Linked DNA regions of Coturnix japonica. The protein of the gene in region 1 purifies or fractionates together with the protein of each later gene. This does not show direct contact. Links are inferred from orthologs where the notes say so. Each region holds a gene or a part of one and is shown on either strand. Other genes may lie near its edges.

Region 1 (3,564 bases):
AAGCTAGCCAAGAGTATTCTGAACCTTTTAAGAATATGATTCAAAGTTCAGTGAATTCTTTTTTCTGATAGATCTCTCCCAGTTTTAACTATGACATCGAATTGTGCAACTGTCAGCTGATTTTCACTAAAACTGTGTATCCAAAAACAGAGCCTAGAAGTGTAGTGCTGTGGTACTGCTGGATTAACTGGGGCTTTGCCATAGATTTTTATAAACAAATTCACAAAATCCCACCAAACCAAGTGATATTTCTCAGAAATATTTAGTTATGGAAGTGTTAGCATTTTGATGCAAGCCTTTAAAAGTCAGTTTAAACTAAGCATATTCCTTGAAGCTAGAAGTCGTAGTACTTTACCAGAAGGTCACTCTAAACACGATAGGATTCATTACCAGAATATGCTCTCTGTTTATCAGTTGCTATTAGAAATGAAATTTTCTGCTCTAAAGAAAAACTTATTAAGTTTGTTTGATACTGTAAGATTTGTATCTCTGCTGTTTTTTTGAGATGCGTTTAAAGCCCTGAGCTTACTTTTATCATTCAGATTGTTGAAATAATAGCGATGGGTGTTGGTATCTTTTCACTGATTTGAAAAGCCAGACCTTGCTAACGTTGTCGGTTTCATTGACTGTAACTTGACATACTCATTCACTTCTGAGACCAACAAATCTGCTGAGAATTCCATGCAGATTATTGAGAGATGATGTGAATAATGTTAAGTGTGTCCCCAAAGACTTTCACGATGGATATGCATAATCAAGCATGCAGTTCTCTACACTAATTCTAATTACTTTTTTTTTCTTCCCTAAATCACTAAGGTTCCCCGACCAGAGATGTAGGGCCTTCATTAGGTCTGAAGAAATCCAGCTCATTAGAAAGTCTGCAGACAGCCGTTGCTGAGGTGACTCTCAATGGTGATATTCCTTTCCACCGCCCCCGCCCACGAATTATCCGAGGACGAGGCTGCAATGAAAGCTTCAGAGCTGCCATAGACAAATCTTATGATAAACCTGTAGCAGATGATGATGACGAAGGCATGGAAACTTGTAAGTAGGCTATTGTTGTACATAATGAATGTTAGCAGTATCAGTCAATTCCTTTAGAAGGTAATTAGAAGTGATAGAAGATAATTTTAAGATTTTAAAAGAATAGAACTAGTATCTCTTCCTGGATTTGTTTCAGGCTTTTGCCCTTCATATGCATTAAGCAGATTGCAACACTCTGCAGCTTCCTTCCTTCCTAAAATAAGGAAATAAGATTATTAGGAGTGTGTTTACTTAAATTATTATGAAAATTTTCTGTAAGGCAGCTAATTAATTTACTGATGTAAATTAGAAAAAAAAAATTGCACAGAAACTAAAAAAACCCCACTGAATTAATGTTACAAAAATATGTGCATCTAACTTTGAAAGGGTACATTTGTAGTGTCTGGGGAAAAAAAAGAAATCACTGTCCTTTAATTAGAATGAGTAAGGCTGGCAGATCTAATAAAATATAAAGTTAATGATCAGCTATTACCCACCCTAATGGGCATTCATTTACATTTTCAGTTCTTTAACCCGAAGTATGACCCAACATGTGGAGAATGTCATTAACATAAAAGAATCACTTCAAAGCTAACCTTATCATTATTGAACTGTGTAAGAATGGGCCGGGAAAATGACAACTTATATTGAATAAAAATAGTGTGAATGGTAAATTATCTCAATCAGAGGTTGTATTAAAATTATGGAATTTTTAACCTTCATGTTGTATTAGTTTCAACTTGTCACACACACCCGCAGAATTTTTTTTAATCGACCTGTAGCTAGTTAAAAGTTTATGAATGGAGAAGACGCTTGGAAAGCTGAAATGGTAAAATATTTAGCTTGAATACTTGCAGAAAAGCCTTGAAAAAAACTTTCCACTCTCTGCTAGTTTTAAAATGTTAGTTTCTGAAGTGCCAATCCGTAATATTCCATTGCAAGCTTACTCCTTTTATATTTTTGAACGCGCTTTGGTTGTTTTTCTTTTAATCTGTTACTAAAAGTGTTCTGAGACTGAAAGGGCGGTCATTCTGCCAGTCACTTTTCTCAAATATAGTTACAGGCAGAATTAATTCTGCTTCGCTTTTACCATACCTAGCAATTTCATGAAGCAATGAGGCTAAAAGCTGGTCTGGTGCTGCTGGCTGTCATTCTGTTTTTGACCAGCAAGAGAACAGGAATGAGAAGAAGTGTAATGGTCCTGGTCATCCTCCCAGACTGTGTGTGTATGGTCTTCTGGAATGTATGGTCCCATTTTCCTAAAAACCCTTATATGGTGTGAGCCAACTGATGGAGATAACTTGTTTTGAGGTATGAGATATACAGGGCTTACCCAGAAGTTACAGATGATTTAACTTTGTTTCACAAAAATTACAGCAAAACTGTTTTGAAAAAGTGTATTCTATGTGAATATAGGCTCACATAAGATGTTTTGAGTTTATTGATGCAACACATAGAAAGCAGAAAGAAAATATTTGGTAGTCTTTGTATTCTTTGCCTGGAAGTTATGGAAACCAGAAAAAAATTCAGTCTATAAGTGAAATGCTGTGTGGTGAGTCTTCATCCTCATCTTTGTATGGATGAAGTCTAGCACTGATGGACCAGGAGCCATCTCACTGTCATAGGAGATCAAGAGCAAGATTGTTTTTAAATCTTACCTGCTAAGGTAGGCCTTCAGGAAGTATGACCAAGATATATCCATGGAACTGCAGGTTCTGTTGAAGCTGTGGGGCCAAATAGCTTCCATGTATTACAGTAAAGCATCTACAAAGTAATACCGAAAGTTACACTGCAAGTCACTGCAATTGTAATAGAAAGAGATGCGTAGTAAAGCAGCTGTAGTAAGTTCATTGAACAGAATTCAGTTCAGTGAACATTGTTGAAGACCCTTTTGGTCTTCCCCTTCTTATGGTGGCCAAGAGAGCTTAATAGCTAATCCAGACATATGGGGCATGGGATCAGCTCAGAATGCTAAATCCTGAGGTCTGTCTTTCTAGAAACATGTGTGTATCTGTAAAACAAAACAAAACAAAACAAAACAAAACAAAACAAAAAACAACTGCAGTCTTCCCAACTTCGTGTAAATTTTTTGTAAATTCCAGAGAATTTGCCAAGTGATGTCTGCAGCTGGAAAAAGTCTGTGTGCCTTTGAATACGTGGAAGTTTATTTAACAATCTGGTACTGGCCTAATGGCTCGCTGCTGCCATAATGACATGGCATAATTCTCTTTTAATTGTATTTAATTATTTCATAATTGTTTGAAATTAAAATGTGGCTTTCTTGTATTATAAAATTCAAGCAAACAAGTTGGTGGTCAATTTGCTGATACCCTTGAGGTTGGAATCATTTGTCTTTCTTGATATGTTTTCCCTTTCTTCTCCAAATGTTTCTGTGCTGAGAGTGCTTTTCTTTTCCAGACTCTGCGCTGCAATATATTTTATAGAGGAATTCGTAACATGTCATTACCCCAAATAAGAAAGCCATAAAACATAGGTAGTATGTGTGGCAGAGGGGCCGGCTCTTCTAAATTAACTTACTGT
Region 2 (4,155 bases), on another chromosome or scaffold:
CTTAGAATTCTCACATACCAAGGCACGAAAATAAGGAGACAAGGACCCTATTGTTAGCACATTAACACCGCCCAGACTCAAACAGGCACAGCAGAACAGCCTACACACTATTAACACCTCATCTTCAAAGTTCTCAAATAATGGAATTCTCTGGGGGCACTCTAGAAATATTCCTATTTCAGTCACTTTAAGTCAGAAGAGATGACTCACACAAAGCAAACAACAGCCTGCAGGAGGAGCTTCCTCCACGTCAGAGGCAGCTGAAGTGTGATGTCAGTGATGGAACGTGACCGAGTTCCTGCTGAACCCTGCTGCAGCTATTTCAAGTATGAGCGCTATGGAAACTCTCCAAGCATTGTATCAATCTGCAGTTGTTTGGTTTTGAAAGACAACATAGTTTGAACGGTTAAGTAACACTGGAATTTAAAAGAACGCCACCAACAATCTTACTCTCAACTTGAAGCAAACATGGTGTGATTGCAGCAAGGATATGAACGGTCACATTTCCAAGCATGTGAAGTTAATTTTTCCCCCCACCATTTCCACAGACGTTATGCTCTAACAAAACTTGCCACATGCTCAGTACTACGAAGCTGATAAAGTAGAAAAGCTAAACTAATTCCCTGTCCATATTAATCTCATGTAATAATTGTCTATATTAATCTCATGCAATGTTTCCATTTGATATCAAACGTTGCACCACATTCCACTCTGCACTAACAAAAATTTGCAACTTTAATGAAGCACAGAAACGTAAAATCAGAAGAATCAGCTGGAAAAACACAGCACAAGCTATGGCAATGTACCAGGAATTCACCTGAGATACCCACGTGAGTAAGACTCGCTTATGAGAAGCATCTTTATGTCCTGTCTAATGCTGCATGCCGCTGCTACACTACCAGTCTTAAGCAATAATAACAGAACATAAGACAGATACATTTGCTGGAGCTTATCGGTATATTAGATTTCATTCCATACAAAACAAAGAATCGGAAAACACTATTCCCACTCACAATGGGCTTTGCAGGCATGGGTTTGTCAGTCGGTGCATGATTACTGAGTTGGACTACCTGAACACAGCGTTGGACACTGATGGCAAGCCTTCAAATCTTACAGCACTGCACAGGAATGCTCCCCTCCACCTCCCACACAGCTTTTCTTTCTTTTTTGGAGCTTCTTCACGGAAGGAAGATGACTCCTCTGATACATTAAATCTAGATACTTGAAAGTAATGTATTAGCAACAAGTAGTTCAGAGAACGCCTCGATACATTCTTCATAGTACACTAAGAGACAGCCCCAACTCATTAGACCTGCTCTGCAGAATGCCAAAGGAGGCACCACGCAGCTGATCCCTAGACATACTTGTAATCAGGCAATGCACACTACAGGGGAGGCTTGAGCTGTGGCAAGAAGTATTGCTTATAAACACGTTATTCTGATTGCTTTCAATCCTACAAGCACATAGATTAAAACAACAAACAACACGCTCCACTGACACAGTCACAGCTGTGCTTAACCAGCATTTGGGATCATGGCAGCCAAGTATTCCTTGGCATTGTGACTTCACCCATATCACAGTTAAGTTAAAAACGAGCAGTAATTATCATCCATGCTAGTCCCAAAAGCGCAGCACTGCTTTTCATGTACAAGCACTTGTCACACTAGTGTTTAAAAAACAGACAAGAAAAAGATCCCCAGCTCCCGGCTGCCTCTCCTACACTGCAAAGGGATGCTTGGATTGCAGGAAGGAGCAGAGTACGAACAGCAAACAGACCCGAGCGGCTTAGAAATAAAGAGGCACAAAAGGACTTTTTTTCTTTTAAACCAATGAAAGAAAACATCCCCACAGGGCCGTGTAGTTTGGTGTGATGATGGAAAGGATTTCACAACAACGCATTTCTTTAGCAGCTTCACACCAGTTAAGATTTCACATCTAACGCATATTAAGATTTACAGTTGTAAATGTAATTAACTGCAAAAGGACAAAGTACCAAAATATGATCACGGTAAGCCAAAAAAAACCCCAAGATCTGTTTCAGAACACTGAACATCTGCCAGCAAAACTACGGGAACCAGGAGAAAAAACCAACGGCAATGGATGCAGAAATGATGCAGAAATGCCAATAGACACATGGAGCCTGCGGAGATCTGACAGCAGGGCTGCTGGAGGAGCCACAGCGTGTACATACATACACATACATACACACATACACATACAGCCTCGTGAGAGCTCGGCCGGCACTAAGTTCTCATGCAGACTCTGCCCGCAGAGCAGCCCGGTGTGATGGGCAGCGATCACGGCCCGGCGTCCGTCACAACCCCCGACCCGACCCTGGAACGCCTTTAGCCTCGATCCCCCCCGAGCTCCCACCCCCGCCCCGCTCCGTCCCGCCGCTCGCTGCGCACACCGGGCCCGGTTCCTCCGTCCCGTCGCTCGCTCAGTCCCGCCGCGCGGTTCCCGCCCCAGGCCGCGCTGCCGCAGGTGAGTGACTCAGTGACTCAGTGAGTCCGTGATTCAGCCCCGACCCGCCGGGCTCCCCGCGGTTCCGGCCGGGCCGCCCGCTCCCCGCTCGCTTACCTTGCTCTTCACCTCCATGGTGCCGAGGCCCCGGCTGCCCGCAGGCCCGCGGTGAGGCCGACTCATTCCGCCGGCTGCTCGGCGTCTGCTCTTTTCTCTCGGCCCCGGGCGCCCACGGGTGGCAGAGCGGGACGCTCACGGCCCGGATCCCCCCGGATCCCCCCGCCCCTCACGCCTCCAGCCGCTCCTGGCACCGCGGCGCCGCCCTGACACAGCGGCACCGGGCGGGGCCGGCGGCTCCTGGCACCTGCCGCCCTCACACCGCGGGACGGGGCAGCGCCGCACCGCGCATGCGCACACGGGCGGGGCCGCGCACCTGCCGCTCGCGAGCATGCGCACTGAGCCGTGCGCGCTGAGCGCGGGACGGCGGCACCGAGCACCTGCCGGGTTGAGGCGGAGCTACAAGATGGAGGGGGAGGAACCGCACGGAGATGAGGAAGTACGGAGTGATTCTGTGTAGGGGCGGGGGTGGGACGAGCCGCGGGACCTTTGCTCGGCAGCGGGCGGGTCTGGTGTGCAAACATGGGGCTGTGCGAGGGAACGCGGCCCGGCAGCACGATGCGCTGATCTGTGAGGGAGGAGTGGGACAGCGCCGGGAAAGGGAAGGGAAGGAAAGGCCGCGAGTGTGCGGGGTGTGAGAGAAACATGACTGGATCCGAATGTGTGAGACTGTACGGAGCGGGATGTGTGTGAGACATTGAAACATGACTGACTGCATCCTGCTGGGTGTGACTGCCCCAGCCCAGGCCGTGCTCCCTCCCTGTCCCTCTCATGCTCTTTAGGCCTGTCCTGGCCGTGCAGTTGTTGGACTTTTCTGTTTTAAGCCCCGTCCGTAACCTGGTGACACGCCTGAAGGGTTTTCTGTGACGTCGTTTGTGTGTGTTACACTGCGATAGAACAACCATTATTGTGTAACCGTCCACATAGTGACCTTGGGGAGGTACCGGCAGACCTTAACATGGGGACCGTGTCATGCCTAAAATCTGAAGAAAAAGGATTTTTCATTTACAGAGTTTAGTATGTAGAGGGAGGAAGAAAGCGTGTGAGTCGGCTTATTGAAGTCAAGAGCCCCTTGCAAACCTCTGCCAGGTTTTTAAAGCAGTCAGTTGCCGTTTTCCTTGGAAGAACTTCCTGGAGCTGATCTGTGCCTGCAGCCGATTTTACTGTGGAACATTTCTGGAGTCTCACCTCAGATAAGGATTTTTTTCTATCTTGCATTCCTAGGATGGCTGGAGTTCCACACTGTGGGTGTGGTAACGTGCTTCAGGACTCAGGGCAAATTCATTTCAAGTCTCTGGAACTGACCTAATAAAGAGTATTAATCACTGGCATGCTCTCATCACTGGGAGCTGACGTATGAGGAAGGAATGCAATAAACAGCTTGATTTCAGATCAAGATACAGTGAGAGGCCGGGAGCAGCACAAGTTTGAAGAGCTATTTTAGTCACAGAGTCTACAAACCTGTGACTTGATCATGACTATTCATGGCACAACCAGTTTCAGCTTCTGTGAAGTTGAAAGACAGGTTGGGTTTTGTAATCCCTGGATCAGGGGGACATTCTGTTTCACTGCAGA
Region 3 (4,139 bases), on another chromosome or scaffold:
AGGGAACGGTGTGGAGCTGTGCCAGGGGAGGGGCAGCTGGGGGTGAGGGACAGGGTCTGCACCACAGGGCGGTGGGCATGGAATGGGCTGCACAAGGCAGTGGGCACGGCCACAAGTGCTGGAGTTCAAGGTGTGTTTGGACACCACTTTCAGCCACAGGGTTTAATGTTTGCATGGTCCTGTGTCAAGTGAAGAGTTGGACTCAGTGACCTTTGTGGGTCCCTTCACACTTGGGACATTCTATGTTACAAGGTGTACACAGCTGACCATGCAGACCACCAGTGCCTGGACTGATTCACCTTATTTCTGCTATTTCTTCTTACTTATAACTCATCACATGTGTCTATGGCCTTCTACAATAACTAGCTGGCAGCTCCTGCTGTCTAAGATAGCAGAAGAAGGCTCAGAGGCACGTCAGGCATATAAGTTACATCCTTCTGTGCCCCGAAAACTTTCTCAGCAGGAACTTTTTGTCTTGCCAGGCACACTTACAACAAATATGCTCAGCTGTATAAAGTTGTGATCATAACCCAAGATCCACGTGTGGACAACCATCACTAAGATAGTGGTAGTCAAAACAGCTGAGAGTTCCAAGAGATTCCATTGCAAACCATCAGCCTGATGTGCCATAGGGGTGATAGGGCAAAGGCCAAAGTTGGGCAGTACTGCTGCTGGGGAGACACCGCCAGGCCCTGTACAAGCGCATGCAGACAGCAGAAAATGCTTGTGAATCATTTTGTTTCCTTTTTGTCTTAGAAACAGTCATCTTCCGATTCCAAGCTGTACAAACACACAACTGATTAAAAGTTCCTGGTGCCAAAAACAGCCTCCTGCATAAGACTCTTCGCTGCTCTGGGTTGTTATTTTATTTTTTTATTATTATTATTATTTTTCCGGGGAATTTTCCATCATCAAAAGCACAAGGCAGAAACAATAGCAAACACTGCCAGCCGGCTTTCAGTTAAAAACAAGCAACAAAGGCATTCCTGTTCCATCCAGAAACAATAGGAAAATCTCGGCGATTAAAGAAAAATAAGAGGGAGAGAGAAGGAGTAGGTCTGGATTCAGAAGGCTGCCGGTGCTGTGCTGTGCTGTGCTGTGGTGTGGTGTGGTGTGCTGCGGTGTGGTGTGCTGTGGTGTGCTGTGCTGTGCTGTGCTGTGCTGTGCTGTGCTGTGCTGTGCTGTGCTGTGCTGTGCTGCCGGGCCGTGCCGTTCGGCGGGGCTGCAGCGCCTCTCTCCTTACCAGGCTGCGGTGCCTGCCCGCCCCCGGGCCGGGAGCGTCGGCGGCGGGGGGCAGCGGGCGGCTGCGGCTTTAAGAGCTCCCACAATGCCGTGCTGGCGTCCCAGTTCCGTTACATGTCTCTCCCGGTGAAGGGGAGCGAGGCAGAGGCAGGAAGGAGGCGGGGGACAGCCCCGCGCCCACCTACGCGCTCGGCGGGCCCGGGGGAGGAGCGGAGCCAAGTGGAGCCCAGCCCAGCCCTCGGGCTCTGCGCCCCCCGCGGGGCACGGGAGTGAGGCGGAGCAGGCGGCCGCCGGAGCCGTTGGTGTGCCCGCAGCCGGAGCGGTAAGTGTGGTCGTGCCGCTCCTCGGGCTCTCCTCGGTCCCCAGCCCGCCGCCCTGTCCGCCCCTCTGCCGCCAACTTTCCCGCTGTCGTCGCTCGCTCCCCTCGCTTTTCCTCCGCTTCGGTTGCTCTTCGCACTGTGCCGTGCCTCCTTCCCGTCACGCTCCCTCCGTCTCTCGGTTCTTTCCTTCTCTCCTCGTCCGTTCCCTGCCCTTTGCTGGCGCTTTGCTTTCCTTCGAGCGCCGCGTTGAGAGGTACGGGCTGTTTTGTGCGTCCTTGGGAAGAGACTCGAGCACCGACTTTCCTCGCACCCCTATTTCTCTCGTCCTTTCCCGTGCTGTGCCCAGCGGGAGGGTCTCACTTTTCCTCTCTGCATCTTTGCGACGTGGACCGTTCGGTTTCGATCTCTTCCTCCCTTCCTTTCCAGGCGGTGACGACTCGTTTCGTGATTAATCACTTATTCCCGTCCCGACCTCTCCTCCTTTCTTTCACTCCCCACAGTGAGCAAAAGATTAAAAAGAAAAGCTGCTGCGCCAGCGGGAGCGTGTGAGGTTCCGTTCTGTTGGTGGGGGGTGAGAACCGGGGGGACGCTGAGAAAAGCTGGGGCAGGAGCGGTGCAATGGGAGACAGAACTTTGCAGGGCGGAAGATGGATCCAGCTTCGTGGTCTGCGCAGCCCTGAAGCGTGGCTGTGGTCATCCAGGACATGGCTGGGCTGGGGTGGCCTGTCCCTGCTCAGCGAGGGGCTGCAATCCTTATGGCAGCAGCGCATTGGGCTCACTCAGCTCAACGCGGCTGGTGGGCTTCGTTGGTGCAGGAGATGAGAGCAGAGGGAATGCAATGGGTTCCAACAGCCCCTCTGGAATGACACCTGTCACCCCTCGCTTCCAGAAACTGTGGATGTGTCAGAGCTTGACAGATTAACACCTTAGTTGGACTGTGTGGTGCCCTGTTGGTGCTGTAGCGTGCCTTGGGAAGGCTGTGCTTCCCAAGACACCTGCTTGCAGGGGTTGGGTGCTCACAAGTAGTGGGCTGGGTGGTGGTGCGGGTGTGTTAGGTGCTGTGGAAGTGAAGCCTGACTTGTTGGTTCTGTAGACAATGTGTAGTTTTGGGAAGGTGAGGTCAGCTCCTTAGGTCCAAATGGAGCACTGTGGCTCATGGCTGTGTTATTACCTCTTTATTCTCTTCCTTAAGGCCACAGGGTCACCTGGTTCAAGTGCAGATGAAACCCTATTTGTCTCTCTTCCTTTAAAGAAAGGAGAAACTACAGTTTCTTTCCGAACTTTGTTTAATTATAGCTGATAATAAAATAGGCTGGGGATTGAACCGGAAGCATTTATTTTTATGTTGGCGATTCCTTGTGTATCCGATGACTTTTTGGCTCTGGGTTAGCGGAAATGACTGCTTGTCACTGCGCTGTTCAGCTGTGCGCCCTTTACAACGGCACTGAGGTTCAGATTTGCTTTTTACACCCGTGTAACTTCTGTCCTTCCCACCCCCACAAGCCTAACGGGACCTGACCGCAGTTGTGTGATTTGCTTTTTTTTTTTTTCTTGCTCTTTCCTGGAGATGAGAAACTTTGTAATCGGGGGGAAATAGATGGGGATAAATTAACCAAATATGGTTAGCAAGAAGTCGGAATCTTATAAAGCTGTGCTGAGAGCCAAGGACCATGGGTCCTGTTCCTGCCTTTGCCATGGAATGGCAGTGTGACCTTTACTGAAGCTGTCGTGTCTTAGCTGTGCCTTATAGGACGTGGAGGCTTTCAGAATAACTGTAGTACTCTTACACGTGATTTTTAGGGATAATTTTATCCATATGCATTGCTGTGTTTGGTTGTGATTTGGAATGCTGGTCAGGTGGCAGTTATTCTTGTGCTAATATTTGTTCTTAGGAAGCTGTAAAGCAGAACTCTTGATTGGTGTTTATTTTGAATGACAGTGCACCAGATTTTTGCATTGCTGTCACAGTTTGGAGCCTCAAGTTCTATTTATCACTTGTATACTTGGAGAATGTTGCATGCTTCATCTCTGATACCTTGTTGGTGTGTGAATTTGCTCATTACTGCTCAGGGTCTCCAAAAAGAAACCCTATGAGCTTTAATTGCAGGTTGGAGAATGGGCCGGGGACCCCCCTCAGTGGGATGTGTGCAGCTCTTGGCTGTTTCTTGAGCTCTGTAATTAAGAGATTGGCTTAGTACGTGGGTTTTTTGTTTGCTTTCTAATTTTAGGTCTTTGCCGAGATTCTTAAGTCTTTAAGATCTCTATCTTGAAATTAAATGTAAATGCTGTGTGGTTTTCTGGGGCTTTCTTGAAATGTTGGATTTTACAACTCTCAAGCCAGGACCATACAGCCTAACACTGACATACTATGATCTCAGTGCTCGCCTTCCTGTGCTGTTTGAGGTTTGTAGCCTTTGTAAACAACGGGCTCGATCCTGCTGGAAGTGTTTCTCTGCTGTGAATGAGAGACTTCTCAGTAGAAACTTGCTGTTATGCAGCTGTAGGTACAAGTTTCTGTCTTCTTGCCTCTGCCTCTATGAGCCCCTTTCTGTCACCATCTAGGCAGGCAGTCTGTCT
Region 4 (3,564 bases), on another chromosome or scaffold:
ACAGATTAATAAGAAGCTGATATTTTTCTTGCAGTGTTCCCTTGTGTACCGGAACGGCCTGGCATGCCTTGCCCAGGAGAAGACAGTAAGTAGGCATCTTCATTTGGGCATACTTAAAATAAGTAATGTGTATTCTAGAAAAAGTTGATACTCTATTGTTTGATTTCCTGTGCTTATGACTATTAATAACACGAATCTCTACAGCTTAAATATTAAAAAGGAATGTTGTTTGTCATTTCTGAGTCATTGTTAATAAAGCATTTTTGTATTTCTGTTAACTCTCCACGTGTCTCTGCTTTCCTTGCTTTTGCCTCTTCCATGGCAGTTTTCCATTCTGTTCCTGTCTCTAGTAGTTGCCAGATTGCTCGCTGACTGATGTGAACAAAGACTTGTAACCACTTGTAATGAGGTGTCAAATAATCAATTTCAGACCAACCTTTGGGTAAAATCAGGAATATTTTGTGAACACCTTTGTCATGCTGGTAAATGTACTAACCATGAGAGGTGATTTTCCATATGTTTAATGTAGGCTTCTATGCTGTTGTTATTCATCTTATAAAAGATGATGGGTATGCTATGCATGCACACGTCTGTCAGCTTGATATCCAAGTTCTTGACAAATGTCAGTGTGCATGCTTAAATGTTAACTATGGCAGTAGGATTAATGCTGCCTTTCTGAAGGGGAGAAAGAAAGGTTCTAGGCTACATCTGAAATAGCTTTGCAACTTGAGGTAGTTTTGCATATTCTAGTTTTCAGTTTTGGGTCCTGAAATGCCTGTAATGAGACAAACAAACAGTCAGAAAATGGTGGCAGCTGTGGACCTAAGATACTGGAGGGTTTGTGCATGCAGCCATAACAGGACATGCTCCTGAAATGGACCTTCTTCCCTCCCTCCCACAGCTCCTCCTTGAATTAAGTAAGGTATGTGCATGTTTTGCAAACAAGTGCTTGTGTTGTTTGGACAGTTTTCCTCCTTTTGACTCACTCCGCCTTTTAACTTTGGAAAGGCAGAATTAACTTTCAGATGGTCAGAGTATTTTGCTTGATGTTTTCTCCAAAATTGGAAAAATGAAGAAAATACTTTGTGTTTCTATAAGGCTGCAGGAATGAAACTTTACTCTGCAAATCACTGTACACAGAAGCACCAGTAAGAAAGTACTGTAGTTCTGTATTTATATCTTTTATGGATATAATTGTATGTTTTTCCTCTTAGAATCCATTTATCGCCGTGGCGCCCGCCGGTGGCGAAAGCTCTATTGTGCAAATGGTCACACTTTCCAAGCCAAACGATTTAACAGGGTGAGACTCTTGTTGGGTACTTAAAACCATGTTCCAGGGTTGTCTTACTTTTATAATTTTAATGTTACTGCCTTGAAAAAAATAAAAAGGTAGATTTATTCTAATTGCTGTTGACTGCCTGTAGTTCTTAGATGCTGGTAACTGTAGTTTCAGGAAACTTTATCCATATAAAATTAGGCTCATAAAAACATAAATAGTTGCAATTCACTTTACAGTGTACTCTGTAACTATGCTGTCACGGAAGTGTTCTGGTGCTCCCTTAAAATCTCCGGGGAGGGCAGACTTTAACACTGGCATTAGATGATTGAACTGAAAGTGCATTTGCAGTTGTTTAAGCATACGTCGAGTTGCTTATGATGCACAGTTTTCCTTCACGACTTAAACAAAACCTGAGATGTTTCTCTAGCATCTGCTTATGATGGCGTAGAAACAATTGAAAATAACTGGCCAGTTTTAATACTTTCAATAAGCAATAGCCAAAGACGATTGAGAATCAAGAGAGCTATCTGCGGCTTGTATCTGAAAAATTAGATAAAATAAGAATTGAATAAGCAAGGTTCCTTGACAGCTTCAGTATTCTTTCCTTTTTCTCTAAGCTGTGAATCACGTGCTTAAGTAACTCTCAAAATGATCTCCACTAAACTTCGTCTTCAGCATTATTCATTTAATATTTTTTACATAAGCAATGCTCTAGGAAATATTCATTGACCTCTTCCCGGTCAAAGGCTGAAGGCACCATCCCACTTGCTTTTGTTGGTGCCCTGCATTCATGGTTCTTTTGAGTTATGAGTGTCCTTCAGTGGGTGGTGATCTTCCCATTTCCTCTTAGCTGGTGGTTTATCTATGTTGAAGCTTTTGCTTTCCTGCTGTTCTCTCTTCAAATCTAAGGACTCCCCTACATAAAGATAATGAGACCTAGCAAACTAGCTTGGTCACAGGAGCCTGCTTATTCATCTGCACTGCTTTTGACCTGCAGTTGACACCCATCTCTCTGGGTCCACGTGCAGCAGAAGAGGCTGACTGTGCCTGCACCTTCCCATGTAAATGTGCTCTTTCTGATAAGCAGTCGCTGCTTATTGTTCATTTGTAATTCTTGGGCTTTTCTGTGTTGTATCTGCTTGTTCTATCTTAAAGTTCTGTCATAGGCTTTTCAGGTACAGTAGCAACTTGAGTAGGGGTTTTTCTGATCTCCTATCCTCTGTTCTTCAGTAATGGGAACGTGGCTGAATAGTTTCTGTTATTTAGCTTTGCTTTTAATCAGTTTTATTGATTTATTCTTCTAGAGAGCTCACTGTGCCATCTGCTCAGACCGAATATGGGGCCTGGGTCGCCAGGGGTATAAATGCATCAACTGCAAACTCCTTGTTCACAAGAAGTGTCACAAACTAGTCAATACTGACTGTGGTCGTCATACACTACAACCAGTAAGTACGGTTTATCTGAAATGTTGTCTTAAAAAGCAACAATAAATGAAATAAAGGAGCTTGTTTCATACTAAATGGCTTTCAGACTATGCTCAGCAAACAATCACAGTAGATAAAGCTTAAAAAGGCTGTCATTCTTTATGGCTACTGCATTACATGACAAGAAAATAGAAGAGATGCTTAGCAAAATAGCATTTCAGTAACAAGAAGGTCTTAATTCTTGTATAGATTGTCTATTTCTGTGTCAGATGGTGAAAAGCAAGGTAAATATGACATGTAGTTACATAGTGTTTATATGAACGTGTACATATATTACATTTCACATATTCAGAGTGACATACAAGTAAATTCTCTAAACATCTGTTAGATTATTAGACTATTTTGTTTGATAGAAAAGGAAGGCAAGGCACAATAGTTCTGACCTCCTCCTAAGTGATGCAATCATCTTTAGTTCTCAAGTCCCCAAAAAGCAATATGTAAATACCACTTGCAGTTTAATGTTTAAAAATGGACAGCTGGAAGTCTTTATTTCATAAATTTATTTGGATAATAAAGCTGCTGAAGTATGTGCAATTTTCTGTCTCATTTTGCATCTAATCTACTACCTTCTCCTTGCTGTATGAAGTTTTCTTCAATAGCTTCTAGCAACTTGCCATAACTTCTGGAAAGCAGGAAAAATAAGGTCTATGGTGATTCTTTTTATACTGTATGGACTAGAGCAGTAGTTATGTGGATTCATCTAAAACAGATTATATTTCTCAGAGATTCTTTATTGTCTCTCAAATGCTTTTCACAATCTGTTAAACAAATGTTGTGCAAATTTGCAGGAACCAATAATGC

What was found.
Region 2: the proteins of PARD3 (region 1) and PARD6B purify together in Homo sapiens (affinity purification with mass spectrometry; 5 studies listed by BioGRID and IntAct, counting the BioPlex papers as one, with this or other methods). This does not show direct contact. The link is inferred for Coturnix japonica from reciprocal best matches to the Homo sapiens genes PARD3 and PARD6B.
Region 3: the proteins of PARD3 (region 1) and RASSF8 purify together in Homo sapiens (affinity purification with mass spectrometry; 4 studies listed by BioGRID and IntAct, counting the BioPlex papers as one, with this or other methods). This does not show direct contact. The link is inferred for Coturnix japonica from reciprocal best matches to the Homo sapiens genes PARD3 and RASSF8.
Region 4: the proteins of PARD3 (region 1) and PRKCI purify together in Homo sapiens (affinity purification with western blotting; 5 studies listed by BioGRID and IntAct, with this or other methods). This does not show direct contact. The link is inferred for Coturnix japonica from reciprocal best matches to the Homo sapiens genes PARD3 and PRKCI.

What each region holds. Positions count from the first base shown.
Region 1 is NC_029517.1:12,118,069-12,121,632, forward strand, and holds part of PARD3 (partitioning defective 3 homolog), read left to right. Parts: intron 1-816; coding exon 817-1,044; intron 1,045-3,564. UniProt on the Homo sapiens protein: Adapter protein involved in asymmetrical cell division and cell polarization processes. Seems to play a central role in the formation of epithelial tight junctions. Targets the phosphatase PTEN to cell junctions.
Region 2 is NC_029535.1:12,092,262-12,096,416, forward strand, and holds the start of PARD6B (partitioning defective 6 homolog beta), read right to left. Parts: upstream 2,801-4,155; 5' UTR 2,647-2,800; coding exon 2,581-2,646; intron 2,485-2,580; exon of another isoform or gene 2,424-2,484; intron 1-2,423. UniProt on the Homo sapiens protein: Adapter protein involved in asymmetrical cell division and cell polarization processes. Probably involved in formation of epithelial tight junctions.
Region 3 is NC_029516.1:62,026,751-62,030,889, forward strand, and holds the start of RASSF8 (ras association domain-containing protein 8), read left to right. Parts: upstream 1-1,315; 5' UTR 1,316-1,564; intron 1,565-4,139.
Region 4 is NC_029524.1:17,533,962-17,537,525, reverse strand, and holds part of PRKCI (protein kinase C iota type), read left to right. Parts: intron 1-34; coding exon 35-85; intron 86-1,214; coding exon 1,215-1,300; intron 1,301-2,583; coding exon 2,584-2,724; intron 2,725-3,551; coding exon 3,552-3,564.